Linked DNA regions of Drosophila melanogaster. Changing the gene in region 1 together with any one later gene gives a genetic interaction. Each region holds a gene or a part of one and is shown on either strand. Other genes may lie near its edges.

Region 1 (8,479 bases):
TCACGTCAAAAAACCATTCTCGAATATTAAAAATTAGTGACAGGGAATAACAACAATATTCAGTTGAGTTTTGACGAGCTAAAGCTGTATTAGCTACATTCACCGCCTCGTTGCCAGCAAAAAACGATTTCAGTTCGTGATTCAGTTTAAAGATACAGTGCCGCAATGAAGATCCTGATGCGAGCGGACACCCATGTGTCCTTCTCCGTGCCCGCCGATGGGCTCAAGGCCAATTTTACCTTTTCCCAGGTGCCTCCTTTACATTAGTGAAAAATACTTTGGAGAACTGCGAGCCTTACAAATTAAAATCGTTTTCCTTCCTATTTCCAGGTTTTGGCTGCTCTGAGTGTCTCGCTGTGCTCCTTGGTGGTCGGATTTGTCAGCGCTTACACGTCGCCTGCACTTGTGTCGATGACCGATCGGACCATCACCTCCTTTGAGGTCACAAAAGATGCTGTAAGTTTTGTTAACTCTTTGTTCGCAGATAAGCTAATTCGAAGCTAATAAGTCCCAGTGATATGTTGAATAATTCAGATAATTTCAACAGAGCGTTTCAAAGGCACACTTTTCCAGCGAAAATCGGATTTCTATTCCCAAACGAAGCTAAACCCCTATCCAATCACTTGAAATCTATACTATTGCAGGGTTCCTGGGTTGGTGGCATCATGCCACTGGCTGCATTAGCAGGTGGCATAACAGGAGGACCCTTGATCGAATATCTGGGCAGGCGCAGCACCATCCTGGCCACTGCGGTGCCCTTCATCGTATCATCACTGCTGATTGCGTGTGCTGTGAATGTGATCATGATTCTGTGCGGACGATTCCTAACTGGATTCTGCGTTGGCATTGCCTCTTTATCCCTGCCCGTCTACCTGGGTGAGACTTTGCAGCCGGAAGTGCGGGGCACTTTGGGTTTGCTGCCCACCGCTCTTGGTAACATAGGCATCCTGGTTTGCTATGTGGCGGGATCCTTTATGAATTGGTCGATGCTGGCCTTCTTGGGAGCTGCTCTGCCCGTTCCCTTCCTGATTTTGATGATCATTATCCCCGAAACTCCGCGCTGGTTTGTGAACCGTGGTCAGGAAGAGCGCGCCAGGAAGGCTTTGAAATGGCTGCGTGGCAAGGAGGCGGATGTGGAGCCCGAACTAAAGGAGTTGATGCAATCTCAGGCCGATGCCGATCGTCAGGCCACTCAGAACACCTGTTTGGAGCTGTTTAAGCGAAACAATCTGAAGCCACTTTCCATTTCCTTGGGTCTGATGTTCTTTCAACAGTTCAGCGGTATCAACGCGGTTATTTTCTACACGGTCCAGATCTTCAAGGATGCGGGATCCACAATTGATAGCAATCTTTCCACGATCATCGTGGGTGTAGTTAACTTTTTTGCTACGTTTATGGGCATCATTCTGATTGATCGGTTGGGCAGAAAGGTGGGTTTAAAGATGCATATAAATGAAAATCATTGTTTACTAATCGTAATTTTTAGATTCTTCTGTATGTATCCGACATCGCCATGATCGTGACCCTGTCCATTCTGGGCGGCTTCTTCTACTGCAAGGCGCATGGTCCGGATGTGTCCCATTTGGGTTGGTTGCCACTCACTTGCTTCGTTATCTACATTCTGGGATTCTCCCTGGGCTTCGGACCCATTCCCTGGCTGATGATGGGTGAGATTCTGCCAGCCAAGATTCGAGGACCGGCTGCATCGGTGGTCACGGCTTTCAACTGGTTCTGCACGTTTGTGGTAACCAAGACCTTCCAGGACCTCACGGGTGCGTAGTGCAACTAACTAAAATAAGTGGTGTAATAATATTTAATATTTTTGTGTGTAGTTGCTATGGGCGCGCATGGAGCCTTCTGGCTATTCGGCGCCATCTGCATCGTGGGTCTGTTCTTTGTGATTATTTTTGTGCCCGAAACGCGGGGCAAGTCGTTGGAGGAAATTGAGCGAAAGATGATGGGCCGTGTGCCCATGTCCTCGGTGGTCAACATCAAGCCATTTCCTTTCAACATGTAAATGGCGTGTTGCTAAGGATCTGAGATGCGTTCAAACCAAATAGTAGGGTGGTGTCTTCGTGCTTAAATTGTGAATTTTTAGGCAAGCGCAATAAATCAAAATTACCGTTGAAAAATACACCAATTGAAAGTTTTTAGGCACTTATGTATATGTGAGTAAAAAACATTTTCGCTTGCGATATGCACAAGATAGTGTTAACAAAGACACCAGTATAATAATATTCTAGTTACATATTGTTACATATGTAGGACCTTTTATTATTATTAATACTCAAGATTAGAGTTTTGAAATCAGTGGTATTGCTCACCCATAACTTGAACACGGCAAATGGCACAGATATCGCATTCCACATCCCAACTCCACATTGCAACTGCGTTCCATTTCTTCAGCGTAAACATTTTTTCCGGTTTGCCGGCATCTCCGTCGTCTGTGGGCCTATCCACTGAGTTTTCTGGATCATCAGCCATGTCAAAAAAGTCTGGGAAACTGACCAATCCACTGGGCTAATGAGATTCGGTTTTTTAATATTTTTTTTTTGTTTCTTGTGTATATCCTCCTGTATGGGAGATTTTAATTAGTATTACAAATAGCGGTTTAAAAATGTTTTTTAATTTTACAATACAATATATTAATTTTTTAAGGTTCTTTTATTTTTAATTTCCCTTTAATGTTTTATGTTTTTATTTTTATTTGGTAAACAATTTTAAGTTTTATTCGACCCCGTTTTTAAATATTTTTCTAACTGTTAATTTATAGGGTATTAGAAACTCTAAACCGGACCTATCTTAGTTATTGATTATTAGCAAATGGCAAAGTGGTCTAACCAGGTCCGGACATCAGTACGTAACTCAGGTTTAGGATTTTAAATAAGGTAATTATACAAATATTAGGAATATTACTCGAAAAATATGCTTAATAGGCGTAGGAGAGCTACAAGTAGAAAAGTTCAAAAATGATCAACAGGTGTTGCTTCCTTCCAACTGGTGGCGATAATTCTACGAACAAACGGTATATTAGTATTAGGGAACAGAGTAACGGGTATCTGATAGTTGAGCCATTCGACTAAGCGCATTCTTCTTGATTGTTTTTTGTTTTATGAATATTGGTAGCTGCGGAATAGGGGGATAGACTATAAAGCCTCTCACTTATCCCTGGTAAAAATGTAATTTACTTTCGTAGCAAGTGGCTGATACGAATTTTAATGTTTTGCTCAACTTGCCAAAAAGTTACTTCTTCCTCCGAGAACAAAGAAATGCCATTCTCAGTTGTATACGAAGGAAAGGTTATCACAGTGTTCGTTAAGTTGTTAACCTCACTCCTACTTCTTGCTTAGTTTCGGGCAAATGATAAGGAACCGCCGGTTTGACTTACCAACAAATAAGAAGTCGAAATAATTGAATGTAAACAATAGCAAGCCAAAAGTCAGTGTGGCCACACCAAAACAAGGGAAAACTATTTTCAGTGTTGCCACAGCCATTTAGGGGATACATTCACCTTATATGCACGGACACACCTATCGACGACCGATAATTAAATATCGATAAGGCGGTTAATTTGTTTTGTGATTTGGTTTTCGCTTACTTCAACTTCGGTTCAATTCATTTTCAGCCTTCGACGAGTGCGGAACGTTTGCGGCAGCGTTTTTCGGCCGCGCTTCTCAAGTTTCAGCTTGCGTTGGGAAATAAACGGTTGGTTTCCAATGCACTAACACAAATTTGACAATATAAATTATTTGCGGTTTCCGGTGATTACTTTAAAATGAAAACCTTCGAACGACAAAAGCTGACCGTGAATATACAGCAACCTGATTCCGATTCCGTTGCCAACCAGAACGCGCCCCGCATAAGTAATTAAGTAATTTCCATGCCGCTCAGCCGGAATCTAACAGTTCAGCCTTATTATTCGCCCATCGTAAACTGAAATTGAAAAAGATAATGGCAAATGACCCATTATCACTATCAGCACAAATGGCGCATCCGACAATCAAAGATAAACATCCCGTATCAATGCGATCCGATGCCAAATGTGCGATAAGCCGATTAAGGGAGTGGTATTTTAGTAAATAAATGTGGAGAAATTAGTTGTTTTTCACAGTAAGCAATAAATTTTCAAATAGCAAATGTAAAATCTACATAAGCCTTACAAAATGACGACGTGTTAAATGCCAATTAAGAGCAAATATCACCTGTGGCTAATGAAAATGTGCAATTTAATACAACCGCAAACAAATGTGGAAGTAACAAATAATGAAAATTTAAACAGATAAAGGTCATTTCGTAGACTTAAACACAAATGAGTGTCAAAAGCGATACGGATAAATATCAATAATTGCAAAATAAAACCCTTGAGTTGAACGCCCTTTTTTTTAACCGGAATAAAGAAGTAGCAGCTGAAGGAGAAACAGGCCAACAGCAAGTTTAATTTAATTAAATTTCGTTGTTTTCTGTGTGCGTGTGTGAGTGTGTTGTTGTTGCTTTTGTTGTTGGCTTTGCTGGATAATCAACGTAATGCTTCCACCCACATCGCGCGAAAGAGATAGCACTAGCGCAATTGACTTTGCCATAAATGATTTTTGGTTTTTTTTCTGCTATTTCTTTCTTGTTTTTTCATGCTTTTCTGTTTGTTTGTTTGTTTGTAAGTTGGTCGCTGGCAATTAGTGGAACGACAAATGTTTATTGACAAAGGCATTGGACACTTTGATTTACCGGGTCTATTCGGTTAAATTGTTTATGATTTTTAAGCGAAAATTATAGATATATGTACATGTGTATGTACATATGGGGGTGTTGTATCTCAGAGATATCGATGGTAAATGTGACACTTTGTGGGTGTATCTATAATCGTATAAAGTGGAACTCTAGTCGCTAAAAAATAAAATCAAACTCTTAAAGGCAGTTTTGTTTTCCTTATAAGCTAGATCGATAAATTTCCACAGCTTACCAGTAAATTTTCATTTAGAGCAGTTTCGAGTATATACAAAAGTGTTTAAAATTTTGCATGTGAAACTATAGCAAAGTTTCGAACATGTACATATAAATTTCAGAAAGCATATTTTAACAGGTTGTACATATATTCAAGATTTGAATGTCATAATTCATTTCAAAAGTAACTATCTGGTATATTTAAAAACCAAATTCCATCACAAAAGTGTGTTTATTTAATGTTTAAAAATGCCAATAAATGCTCAATTGCAACACCCATTTTCCAAGTATGAGTGCAAATGTTTTAGGGATTTCGAACAAGATCACTTCATGCCCCCGATGCCACAAAGCCTCGAGAAGTAAATGCAATTAACTGGCGAAAAGCACTTGCGCCCCCTTGCCCCTCCCTTTAGACCATATTAACTTGGCTTTAACGCCGTGCACGTTCGATTTGAATGACGCACATTGGCGGCTGAATGGTTGAAAAAGTGCAAAATCAACAATTAATGAACTGAACAATGTTTGCCACCTGTAACGTCTGAGGATGGTGTAAATTTCCAATTGCAAACGATGTCAAACAGAGGCGTTTTACCGTCTGCTAATTTCCCATTTTCATTTCAAGCCGAATGGCCACAAATAATACAACAAAAAATAATGAAATAATAATAATACAACAAAAAGCAGTAAAACCGCAAGATTGCGGCTATTTGCAAGCACTTTATGTGTCGTTTATGATATAGTATTACTATGCGCTGTCACTTCGGTCCGGCGATCAAATATGCAATTAAATGTAAAAAAAAAAAAAAAAATGGCAATTTAATGAACCCACATTTGATTAACCAATCAGCAGTCGAAAGTCAAATTGCTCCAAATCGCTTGTCATGCGCTCCGCGAATTTGATTCAAGCAAACAAACTGAGAGATACAAAAAGATATGCGAAATTCCAATACGGAGTCTGCGTAACTGTCAAATGTTGTAAAAAATCAATAACACAAATGTTAACATGCGCACAATGCTAAAAACGCATAAAAACGAGTCGAGCGGCCAATAAGGTTGGCAAAAAATGGCAAAACAAAAAATGAAATCAAATAAAATGAAATGAAATGAAATGCCTGGCGACGCTTTAAGGCAACTCGGTTTGGGCCAATCCAAGCCCGAGATAAAGCATTTGACACTTTTGGCTAATAAAAGTTGCTAATGAGTGCGCGCAACTCGCCGATTCCGAGTTGTTGATTTAGTTATATTTTTTGTGATCCGGCCAATCGGAAAGCATTAATAATTGGGTGTTGAGAGAGCAGTTTTACTGCACTAATTGTGCATAAATAAATAACAGCTTGTGTAATCCAATTAATTTGCAAATAGTTAAGTTGAATCGCCGAGGGAGAAGTTATCAAATGGGTAGGCTGTCTAGAAGTTAAAAGGCTATTTTATTTCCTTTAAATTGCTGTATTTTTATGAAAATACAGGTATACAAATTAAAGTTCAGGCATATTAAAAATGAAATTAAAAATAATAAAAGTTATTAACTGCTTAACCAAGAAAGAGATCATATATGTACATATATACATTTTCTAAGCATTTTATGTTTCGTGGTTTAAGAAGTATTATATATAATCTTGCATTTGAAATATGACATACGATTATGACATGTTTTCAAATTTATGGTTTTCGAAGTTCTTTTCATTTTTAATTATTGGATTTTTTAATATAAAGAATTTCTTTCTTACTATAGAACATACATCAATTCAATTATCATAAATCGTTATACATTTGATCTTTTAGGAGTTTAGTTTGAGCTTCAAGATTTTCTATCCAAATTCTCGTTTTTCTTGCACTGAACTTTGAAATAAAACCTAAAAAAATGAGTTGCTTGCTCCCGTTTTGATTAAGTATAATGTTTTAATTAACTTGATCTGCTCCCTTTTAAAACCTTTCGAGTTGTGCCGACTCCTTTAATGAGCAGCGAAATCGACGATTGCCAGTCATGAACATCGATATCCATTCATAGAACTGCGTTTTGCTTGTCCATTGAAACTTGGCTAAAATGAAGTGCGCTCATAAATATTTATTAGGCATTGCTAAACTGGGCACTAAGTAGTCGGTAATTTAAGCAGACATCAAAATTGTTAAGGCCAGGTCCACACACACACACACACACACATACTTACTGGACCCCATACCCATTCGGCCGATTTGGATGCTGAATGAAGAGTGTAAATTGCAGCCGCCACTTTGGCGAAAGAAATGAGTGGCAACTGGGGGAGCTTTACATCGACTGCACTTTATAGAGTGGAGTACACGGATTGCGGCCAAATCGAACACGAACTTAAGCGCCAGTTGGGGACGACATTAATTTATGTTCGGCAAACATTTTGCCTGCCATTTAGGCGACAAAGACAAAGTAGCCTCGCCTGCAAGCTCCAAGATTCCGCCCCCTACCCCGATTGGCCCACCAAATCTATTTGTGTTCGAGCCGGAACGCGTTGGGATTATTAATTAGCCAACATCGCTGGCGAAGCCTGTAAAAACATCGCGCCACATTCCCCAAAGTGGAGATGGGGATGCAATTGGGGGCATCTCGTCGAGCTGTGAATGATGATCTCAGCTGTGTGGGAATGCATCTACGCTTGGGTTAGGTCAACGAAAAGTGCTAAAAGGCCAGTTTGCGTTATGGAAAGTTAATTTCAAAATATATTAATGATCGCTTATATAATGCGCAACAAATTTCATTTGGCAGCCACGAAAAACTGCAAATGAAATGTATTTGAACTAGTTAAAAGTTACGGAAGTAGTAATAGAATATTTAAATATAAAAAATCACACAACAAAGTCTTTGTTTATTTATTTATTTTTTTTCAACTATTTAAGTTAGAAGAATCTCACGATGACCATTTTATCACAATGCCACCCAGCTAGCAAACAAATTCCGAAATACCTATGTATGTATGTATCTCCTGAAGCCCCAATGGGTAATTAACTTGTAACTCTAGACTTTTGGCCACCCATCGAGCAAAAGCGGCTGAAATCAACGGCTAATTGGCTGCGATTTTCATGCCCATTAAGCGCCAACTGTCAGCCAGCCAGATGGATGGATTATCATATACGAAAACCGTCAACAAATTGCACCAAATAACAAAGCCAAAAACCGAAATCGACTGTGAACGAGGTTTCATTAGCCGCGCTCGAAGCGTGAAAACGTGATAAAATTTCGGTTTAGGCCACAACTATCTGGCCATAACTAAATCACAGATTGCAATTTGCGAACTAAGCGCGCAGTTTGGAAATCGGTTTGCCTACTGGCTTTTTGAGCTATCTATCGTACACTTGTTTTTTGTTTTTTTTTTTAAGATTTTATTCTCAGGTCCGCTCAATCACTGGCGACATGAACATAAATTACATTTTATTAAGTGCTAATTTCTGTTTTAATCTCGAAATGGGCAAACATTGGCTCGTTGTTGATTTCGCAGTGGCGATAAGTCAATTTACTTGGCAGCCAGATAGATAAAAGTCACTTCAAGATTGGCGCCTCAGATACAGATAC
Region 2 (7,539 bases), on another chromosome or scaffold:
CCAAACTGCCCGCAGATGCCGGTGATCCAGGCCATGGGCATACTGAAGAAGGCATGTGCCGAGGTCAACAAGGATTACGGACTAGATGGCAAGGTGTCGGATGCCGTATCCTGCGCCTGCGACGATGTCATTTCCGGCAAGCTATACAAACAGGGTCACTTCCCATTGGTCATCTGGCAAACCGGTTCGGGCACCCAGACCAATATGAACACCAACGAGGTAAGATTGTTAGATAGGGCTAACGAGAGAAATGTGTATAGCTGGATGCTTCTCCTGCCCCATGCCATTGGCAAACCTACTAGGTGATCAGCAATGCGGCCATTAAGATGATGGGCGGCGAACTGGGCAGCAAGAAGCCGGTGCATCCCAACGATCATGTGAACAAGTCGCAGAGCTCCAACGACACCTTCCCCACGGCCATTCACATTTCGGTGGGCATGGAGCTGAACGAGCGGCTTGTTCCGGCGGTTACACACTTGAGGGATGCCCTCAAGTCCAAGTCGGATGAGTTCAAGGACATCATCAAGATCGGACGCACCCACTTGATGGACGCAGTTCCGCTGACTTTGGGCCAGGAATTCAGCGGTTATACACAGCAGTTGACCAACGGTCTGGAAAGGATCAAGGGCTGTCTGCCGCGCGTCTATGAGCTGGCTCTGGGCGGCACTGCTGTGGGTACGGGTCTGAACACACGCAAGGGATTCGCCGAGAAGGTGGCCAAGCGCATTTCGGAGCTAACCTGCTTGCCCTTCGTGTCGGCGCCCAACAAGTTCGAGGCACTGGCTGCCCGCGATGCCATGGTGGAGGTGCATGGTGTGCTCAACACGATCGCCGTCAGCCTGATGAAGATCGCCAACGATATCCGATTGCTGGGATCGGGTCCGCGTTGCGGTCTGGGCGAACTAATGCTGCCGGAGAACGAGCCCGGTAGCTCCATCATGCCCGGCAAGGTGAATCCCACGCAATGCGAATCAATGACCATGCTGTGTGCCCAGGTGATGGGCAATCAGGTGGCGGTGACCATCGGCGGCTCCAACGGGCACTTCGAGCTAAATGTATTCAAACCCCTGGTCGTGTCCAATGTGCTGCGCTCCATTCGCTTGTTGGGTGAGTCGGAAATGTGTTTTCCAAGTGGAAAAACATGCATACATAACCTTCTCCTCCCAGCTGATGGCAGCATGACCTTCAGCAAGAACTGCGTGGAGGGACTGCAGGCCAACAAGGAGAGGATCGACAAGATCATGAACGAGTCCTTGATGCTGGTGACCGCGCTGAATCCGCACATTGGCTATGACAAGGCCGCCCTGATCGCCAAGACGGCGCACAAGAATAAGACGACCTTGAAGGAGGAGGCACTGAAGACCGGAATTACCGAAGAGCAGTTCAAGGAGTGGGTCAATCCCAAGGAGATGCTGGGACCGAAGTGATTCGCTGTGCGGCTATTGACGATTTTGTTTTAGTTTCGTGTAATAAATTTTTGTGTGTAGCAGGATATTTCAATAGATTGTATTAATTTGTTGATTTTACGGCAGGTGAATAACGGTTTTTAGTTTTTGAATTCTCCAAATGATTCGAGTCCACACTACGCGATAGTCATTATCGATTCTAAAGATATACCGTAAGTGTGGTCACACTAACGCCTTGCTGTTTCTAAATTATTCCGTTGTTTTTATCGTAAATTCTTGCACACTTAGCTATTATTTTATAGCGAAATATAAGCAAAGCAAGCTTTTAAACAAGTGTTTATTGCGGCGCACATTTTCCGTGACAAATGAAAAGATCCAGCTGACCAGCGATTATCTAACGACCAAATCGAATCGAAACGAAACGTTGAAGTAGGCGCATTACATTAAAAATTGGCTGCCAGGCAAGTTGGAGGTCGTAAATTAATCGTTTTGTTCAGTTGAAAATAGCCCAAAATCAGTCTAGCCCACACAGATATCGAAAAAGGCGATATATCTTTGGATAATCATTGCAAAAATAAACCCTTTCGATTCGACGATTTCGCCTTGTAGTTCTGCCACCACCGCCCCCACACTTCGCCCCGCAGCTGCACCACAACCACCACCACCCACAAACAGAAAATTTATTTGCGACGCAAAAACAAAACAATCGAATCGAAACGAACCGAACCGAAACGAAACGACAGCAGCTGTTTGGTTATAAATCGGCGCTATCGATCGCACACATGAGCAAAATTGGCGGAGAAGAAGAGGAAGCAGCAGCAAGAGTTAAGCACCACAAATCTTAAAGAATAGGTAAAAATTAAAAATTAAATTAATAGATGACAGACCGTTTAAGGTGCTTCATTCAGTTGCAGGCACTAGGAGCCGAGGTCTTTGCGGGCCGAAAGATGTCTGTGAGACTGCTGACCGTGCGACTGATCAAACATGGTCGCTACATTTTGCGCAGCTATTGTAAACGTGATATACACGCCAACATTTTGGACCAGAATCAATTGAAGACAAGAAGCAAGCGAGGCTTTCCCCTACCCTCCACCGCTGCCAATGTGCTGCGGGTAAGTCAAGCTAAACGGATGATCAAGGCATGTCCAATTAACCCGCATCCAATCTCTTCGCCAGACAACGCCCCAGCAGGCGGCCAAATCGGTGGTCAATGTAGTGCCCCGCACCATCAACTCCCCGTCGGGATCACCGTTTAATGGCAGCGGCAGTAGCCCCACCAGCAGCAGTGGAATCTTCCGAGTGGGCCAGCATGCGCGCAAATTGTTCATCGACAACATCCTCAGCCGGGTGACCACCACCTACTCGGAGGATCTGCGCCAGCGCGCTACCCGCAAGCTATTCTTTGGCGATTCAGCGCCCTTCTTCGCCCTGATTGGCGTTAGTCTGGCCTCCGGATCGGGTGTGCTCAGCAAGGAGGATGAACTGGAGGGCGTGTGCTGGGAGATTCGGGAGGCAGCTAGCCGGCTGCAGAACGCCTGGAATCACGACGAGATCTCCGATACGCTAGACAGCAAGTTCACCATCGATGACTTGGAAATCGGTCCGCCCATAGCCAAAGGTTGTGCCGCTGTCGTCTATGCAGCGGATTTCAAGAAAGATGTTGCCTCGGATGGTGCATCCCTGCATACCGATGCGCAGCCGCAGGCAACGCCAGCCTTTGCGCCGAATAGCTGGAGTACCCACGAGATGATGTCGCCGCTGCAGAACATGTCGCGCTTTGTTCACAACTTTGGCGGCTCTGTGGACAACGTCTTCCACTACAGCCAGCCATCTGCGGCCAGTGATTTCGTGGGCGCCCAGTCGAGGGAACAGGACCAGCGGCACCACGAGCAACAGCAGCATCAGAATCAGGAACAAGAGCAGCATCAGAACCAGGAGCCCAGCAGCAGTGCCTTCAATGTGGTAAATATGTAAGCTTAAATCTGCATGGCAACTTGCCATCACGCTCTTTGCTTTAACTTGCAGACTTCTCCAGCGAATTCAAACATCAACAGCTCTGTGGACAGTTATCCACTGGCACTCAAAATGATGTTCAACTACGACATCCAGAGCAACGCTCTGTCCATACTGCGTGCCATGTACAAGGAGACGGTACCGGCACGCCAGCGCGGCATGAATGAGGCCGCCGATGAGTGGGAACGTTTGCTGCAGAATCAAACTGTTCACCTGCCGCGGCATCCGAACATTGTCTGTATGTTTGGCTTCTTTTGCGACGAGGTGCGCAACTTTCCCGATGGCCATCTCCTGTATCCGGTGGCGCAGCCGCAACGCATCAATCCACAGGGCTATGGCCGCAATATGTCGCTGTATCTGCTGATGAAACGCTACGATCACAGTCTTCGCGGCCTGCTCGATAGCCAGGATCTGAGCACGCGCAATCGCATCCTGCTGCTGGCTCAAATGCTCGAGGCTGTCAACCATTTGAGCCGTCACGGCGTTGCCCATCGTGACCTAAAGTCTGATAATGTGCTAATCGAGCTGCAGGACGATGCGGCGCCGGTGCTAGTGCTCTCCGACTTTGGCTGTTGTCTGGCGGACAAGGTGCATGGCCTGCGCCTGCCGTACGTTTCGCACGACGTCGACAAGGGCGGCAATGCGGCGTTGATGGCGCCAGAGATCTTCAATACGATGCCCGGTCCGTTTGCCGTACTCAATTATGGCAAGGCCGATCTGTGGGCTTGCGGTGCCCTGGCTTACGAAATCTTTGGCAACCGCAATCCGTTCTATTCGAGCAGCGGTGGGATGGCGCGCGAACGCGGTGAGATGACGCTTTCGCTGAGGAACAGCGATTACCGACAGGACCAATTGCCGCCAATGAGCGATGCTTGCCCGCCGCTGCTGCAACAGCTGGTCTACAACATCCTCAATCCCAACCCGTCCAAGCGGGTCAGTCCGGATATTGCGGCAAATGTGGTGCAGCTGTTCCTCTGGGCCCCATCCAATTGGCTTAAGGCGGGCGGCATGCCCAACAGTCCGGAGGTGGGTCGCAGTGTTTGATACCACATCAGCATCCTTTTAAGCTAATTATGATTTTTTTTTACAGATCCTACAGTGGCTCCTTTCGCTGACCACTAAGATTATGTGCGAGGGTCGTCCACAGATGGGCGCCGGATTGATGCCAGTGGCCAGCTGTGGCAATAGGCGCGCCTATGTGGAGTACCTGCTCATATGCAGCTTTCTGGCACGCGCCCGGCTGCGTCGCATTCGCGGCGCCCTCAACTGGATCCAGAATGTGGTGGCGTAGGAGAAAAGCCTTCTACTTGTTACTCTGAGAAAATCAAATGGAAAAGCGTGTGATACCTATATTTTACATATGTATTTATAAATGAAATCAAAATTAACGCCAAAAGCACGCCTCCGGTACAATAATTATTGACCCTCCTGATCTTTCTGATTCTTCAGCTTCTGCATTTTCGCCACCAGCGCCTCCTGTTTGACCAAACTCCTGTCGAGCTTTTCCATCACCTGCCTGATCATAATTTGGAGTTCCGCAAGATGTTTCTCCCAGGCCACATTCTGCTCCTCCAGCTCGATAAGCTTATAGAGATTGGCCTCGTTTGAGTCTTCGATGTTGTCTATAGCCTGATCCAGGCTATCCTCGGCGTCCAACTTGTTTGGATTTTGTGGGGGATGCTGTGCGGAGTAGAATGAGGAGTTTATAAAGTTAGCAGGATCTCTACGTTTAGTACTTACCATAACTAAACAGTTCAAGTTCATTCACTTCTCTGAATTCGCAAACTTCGAATGAAAATGCGCTGACAGAACTTACGATAACCGCACCAGGGCTGAGCCGATTGCATGCGTTATCGATATCGCCTGCCAGGGATGTTGGCAGTTTAAAATTAGTTTTGGAAAACTTAGGATATCCCAAATGCCATGAACAATTCTGTTTTTTCCGCAAACTATTATACAAACTATAGATAGTTGAAAAACATAAGCCAGCAAATGTTTATTTTTCTTTTAGTTTTTAGTCACATAACATAATATACAGATATCGAATTCATTTGTTAATATCCACGCGACTCACACACAACGTGTGATCATAAAAGGAGCAAGTGGCCATGGTCAAGGACGCATCGTCCTTGTTTCTCCATGGTGCCCAATCGGCCCCGTAGCAGATGCTCTTATGCTCCTCATAGGCGCCCAGTAAACTCAGGCCAGGTGCCGCGACATCCAGCTGCACCACGCTAAAGTTGGTGTACATGCAGGCGGCCAGGATGAGATCGGGCTGGGCAGGATGCGGCTTCAGCCTCCAGATGCCTCCGCTCAAGTCCAGTTCCGCCAGTGATCGCTTCATCGATCTGGTGTCGAAGAGACGCAACTGCTCATCATAGCTACCCGTGAGCAGATGGTTTTCGTGCCGCGGATGACTTAGCAGACAGGTGACTCCAGCCATGTGCGCCCGGTTGGTCCACGCACGCTGCTTGGTGCGCAGATCGTGGGCCATGAGCAGCATATCGTCGCCACCACTGTACAGAATGTGCGGTGACCAACGATCAAAGGCACAGGTCCAAGCCTCAAAGCCATGGGACAACCACGACCGTTCGCGGATTATCTCACCCTGTGATGAGTAGCTCAATAGATTTAGGCCGCCTTTGGAATCGGAGATGGCCAGTCGGATGTGCTGCCCGTCATGTTGCCAGTCTAGGGCCAGCGCCAATGGCGCTTCCTCCGACGAATCCTGCTCCGCCAGGCTAAAACACGTACGCCTCTGCAGTAGCTTCGCATCCTGGAGAAACTCGTACAATTCCATCTGGCCTAAAGAGTTGACCGTGGCCAGGTGGGGATTACACTCACTGCTCCAGGCCGGCAGCCACTTCATGTCGAGAATGGCAGACGTTTCGATGCACTGTAGCCGCTCCAGGCGGCAGTTTTCCTCTTCAAACTGGTATAAATAAACGCGACCCTTGCGTGGACGCTTGGCTGAAGTCTCCGCCGCCGGCTCGTCCTCCTCCTGGACCAACTGATAGGTGCCGCAGGCAAAGAAACCCGTTGCCGCATCATCGTGTGTCAGCCACTCCACAGAATCTGCCGAATATTCCGTATCCTCGCTGTGGAGCGTTGTAAACATGTTTATGAAAAGATGTTATCAGCAATCGATAACCGATAGCCACTAGCTGACCATCTGTCCCATACATCGCTGCCAATCGACCGTGTTGTTTTGTTCTTATTAGATTTATTTGTTATTTTGGGCTTCTACTGATAAAAATCTGCAAGACAAACAGTAAAACGAAGAATAATCTAGGAGTGGAAAACAGATTTTTTGCAAATCAATAGAAAATTGCCAAACCAATAAAAATGTGAAAAAATATGAACACATTTTTAAAAAGTTAATTATGATTTTTATACAGATCCTCCAGAGCTTTTCCATCACCTGCACGCTGACAACCACTACCGTAATGAGTAGGAATAGAAAGAAAGAAAGGCTGCCTTTGGAAAAAATTTCCAGCGGATGTGGTGCGCGTCATGCGCGTCATGTGCGCGCCAGACGTGCAACATGCAAAAACACGTTCGCCTCTGCATTTGCTATCGATAACCGATAGCCACTGGCTGACCACACATACATCCCATACACCGCTGCCATTGACCGTTTTGTTTCGATCTTATTAGATTTATTTGTTATTTTGGGTTTTTTTTTTGCTTTTTTTTTGCTAATTTAAAAAATTAATAGTTAATACATACAACTACTTAGTGCTCTGTTTACGCGCTACATATTCTGGATTAGGTTTAGTTGGATCTCCACCATCGATCGTAGTTATCTTTTTATTTTAGCTGCATTTCTTCGATTTTCAGTGGCTTTCGGGGCGTCACAGTGTTTCATTTCATTTAGCTTTCTGGGTTTCCGGTGGACTTTTGTGCCTGCCAGGCATCCGTATTGCACTTGATCCTTGATCTCCGCTTACTCTGACTTTTTACAAAATCTACCATTGAAGTACATTAACACTTTAAAAAACAGATTAAAAAAAAATATACGCTTATTGATAACTATAGACAATCCCTACTGTTCGCAGATATCTCCATCGTTTGTGCGTCCAACGCCTGATATTCCGGCGGAAATGGAGGCCTGGCTAGC

The links.
Region 2: of Buffy (region 1) and Pink1, changing one suppresses a phenotype caused by changing the other (phenotypic suppression), as found in Drosophila melanogaster (2 studies listed by BioGRID).

What each region holds. Positions count from the first base shown.
Region 1 is NT_033778.4:11,675,882-11,684,360, forward strand, and holds the start of Buffy (buffy), read left to right. Parts: upstream 1-3,610; 5' UTR 3,611-3,705; intron 3,706-8,283; exon of another isoform or gene 8,284-8,479. Other genes in the region: Roc2 (regulator of cullins 2), read right to left, coding at 2,325-2,484; Tret1-2 (trehalose transporter 1-2), read left to right, coding at 166-249, 331-456, 645-1,430, 1,487-1,772, 1,833-2,017.
Region 2 is NC_004354.4:6,682,204-6,689,742, forward strand, and holds Pink1 (PTEN-induced putative kinase 1), read left to right. Parts: upstream 1-1,637; 5' UTR 1,638-1,867; exon of another isoform or gene 1,868-1,924; 5' UTR 1,925-2,258; intron 2,259-2,314; 5' UTR 2,315-2,353; coding exon 2,354-2,518; intron 2,519-2,582; coding exon 2,583-3,368; intron 3,369-3,431; coding exon 3,432-4,445; intron 4,446-4,509; coding exon 4,510-4,710; 3' UTR 4,711-4,835; downstream 4,836-7,539. Other genes in the region: Fum2 (fumarase 2), read left to right, coding at 16-219, 303-1,107, 1,168-1,427; CG44303 (uncharacterized protein), read right to left, coding at 4,836-5,099, 5,160-5,162; CG3184 (uncharacterized protein), read right to left, coding at 5,467-6,537.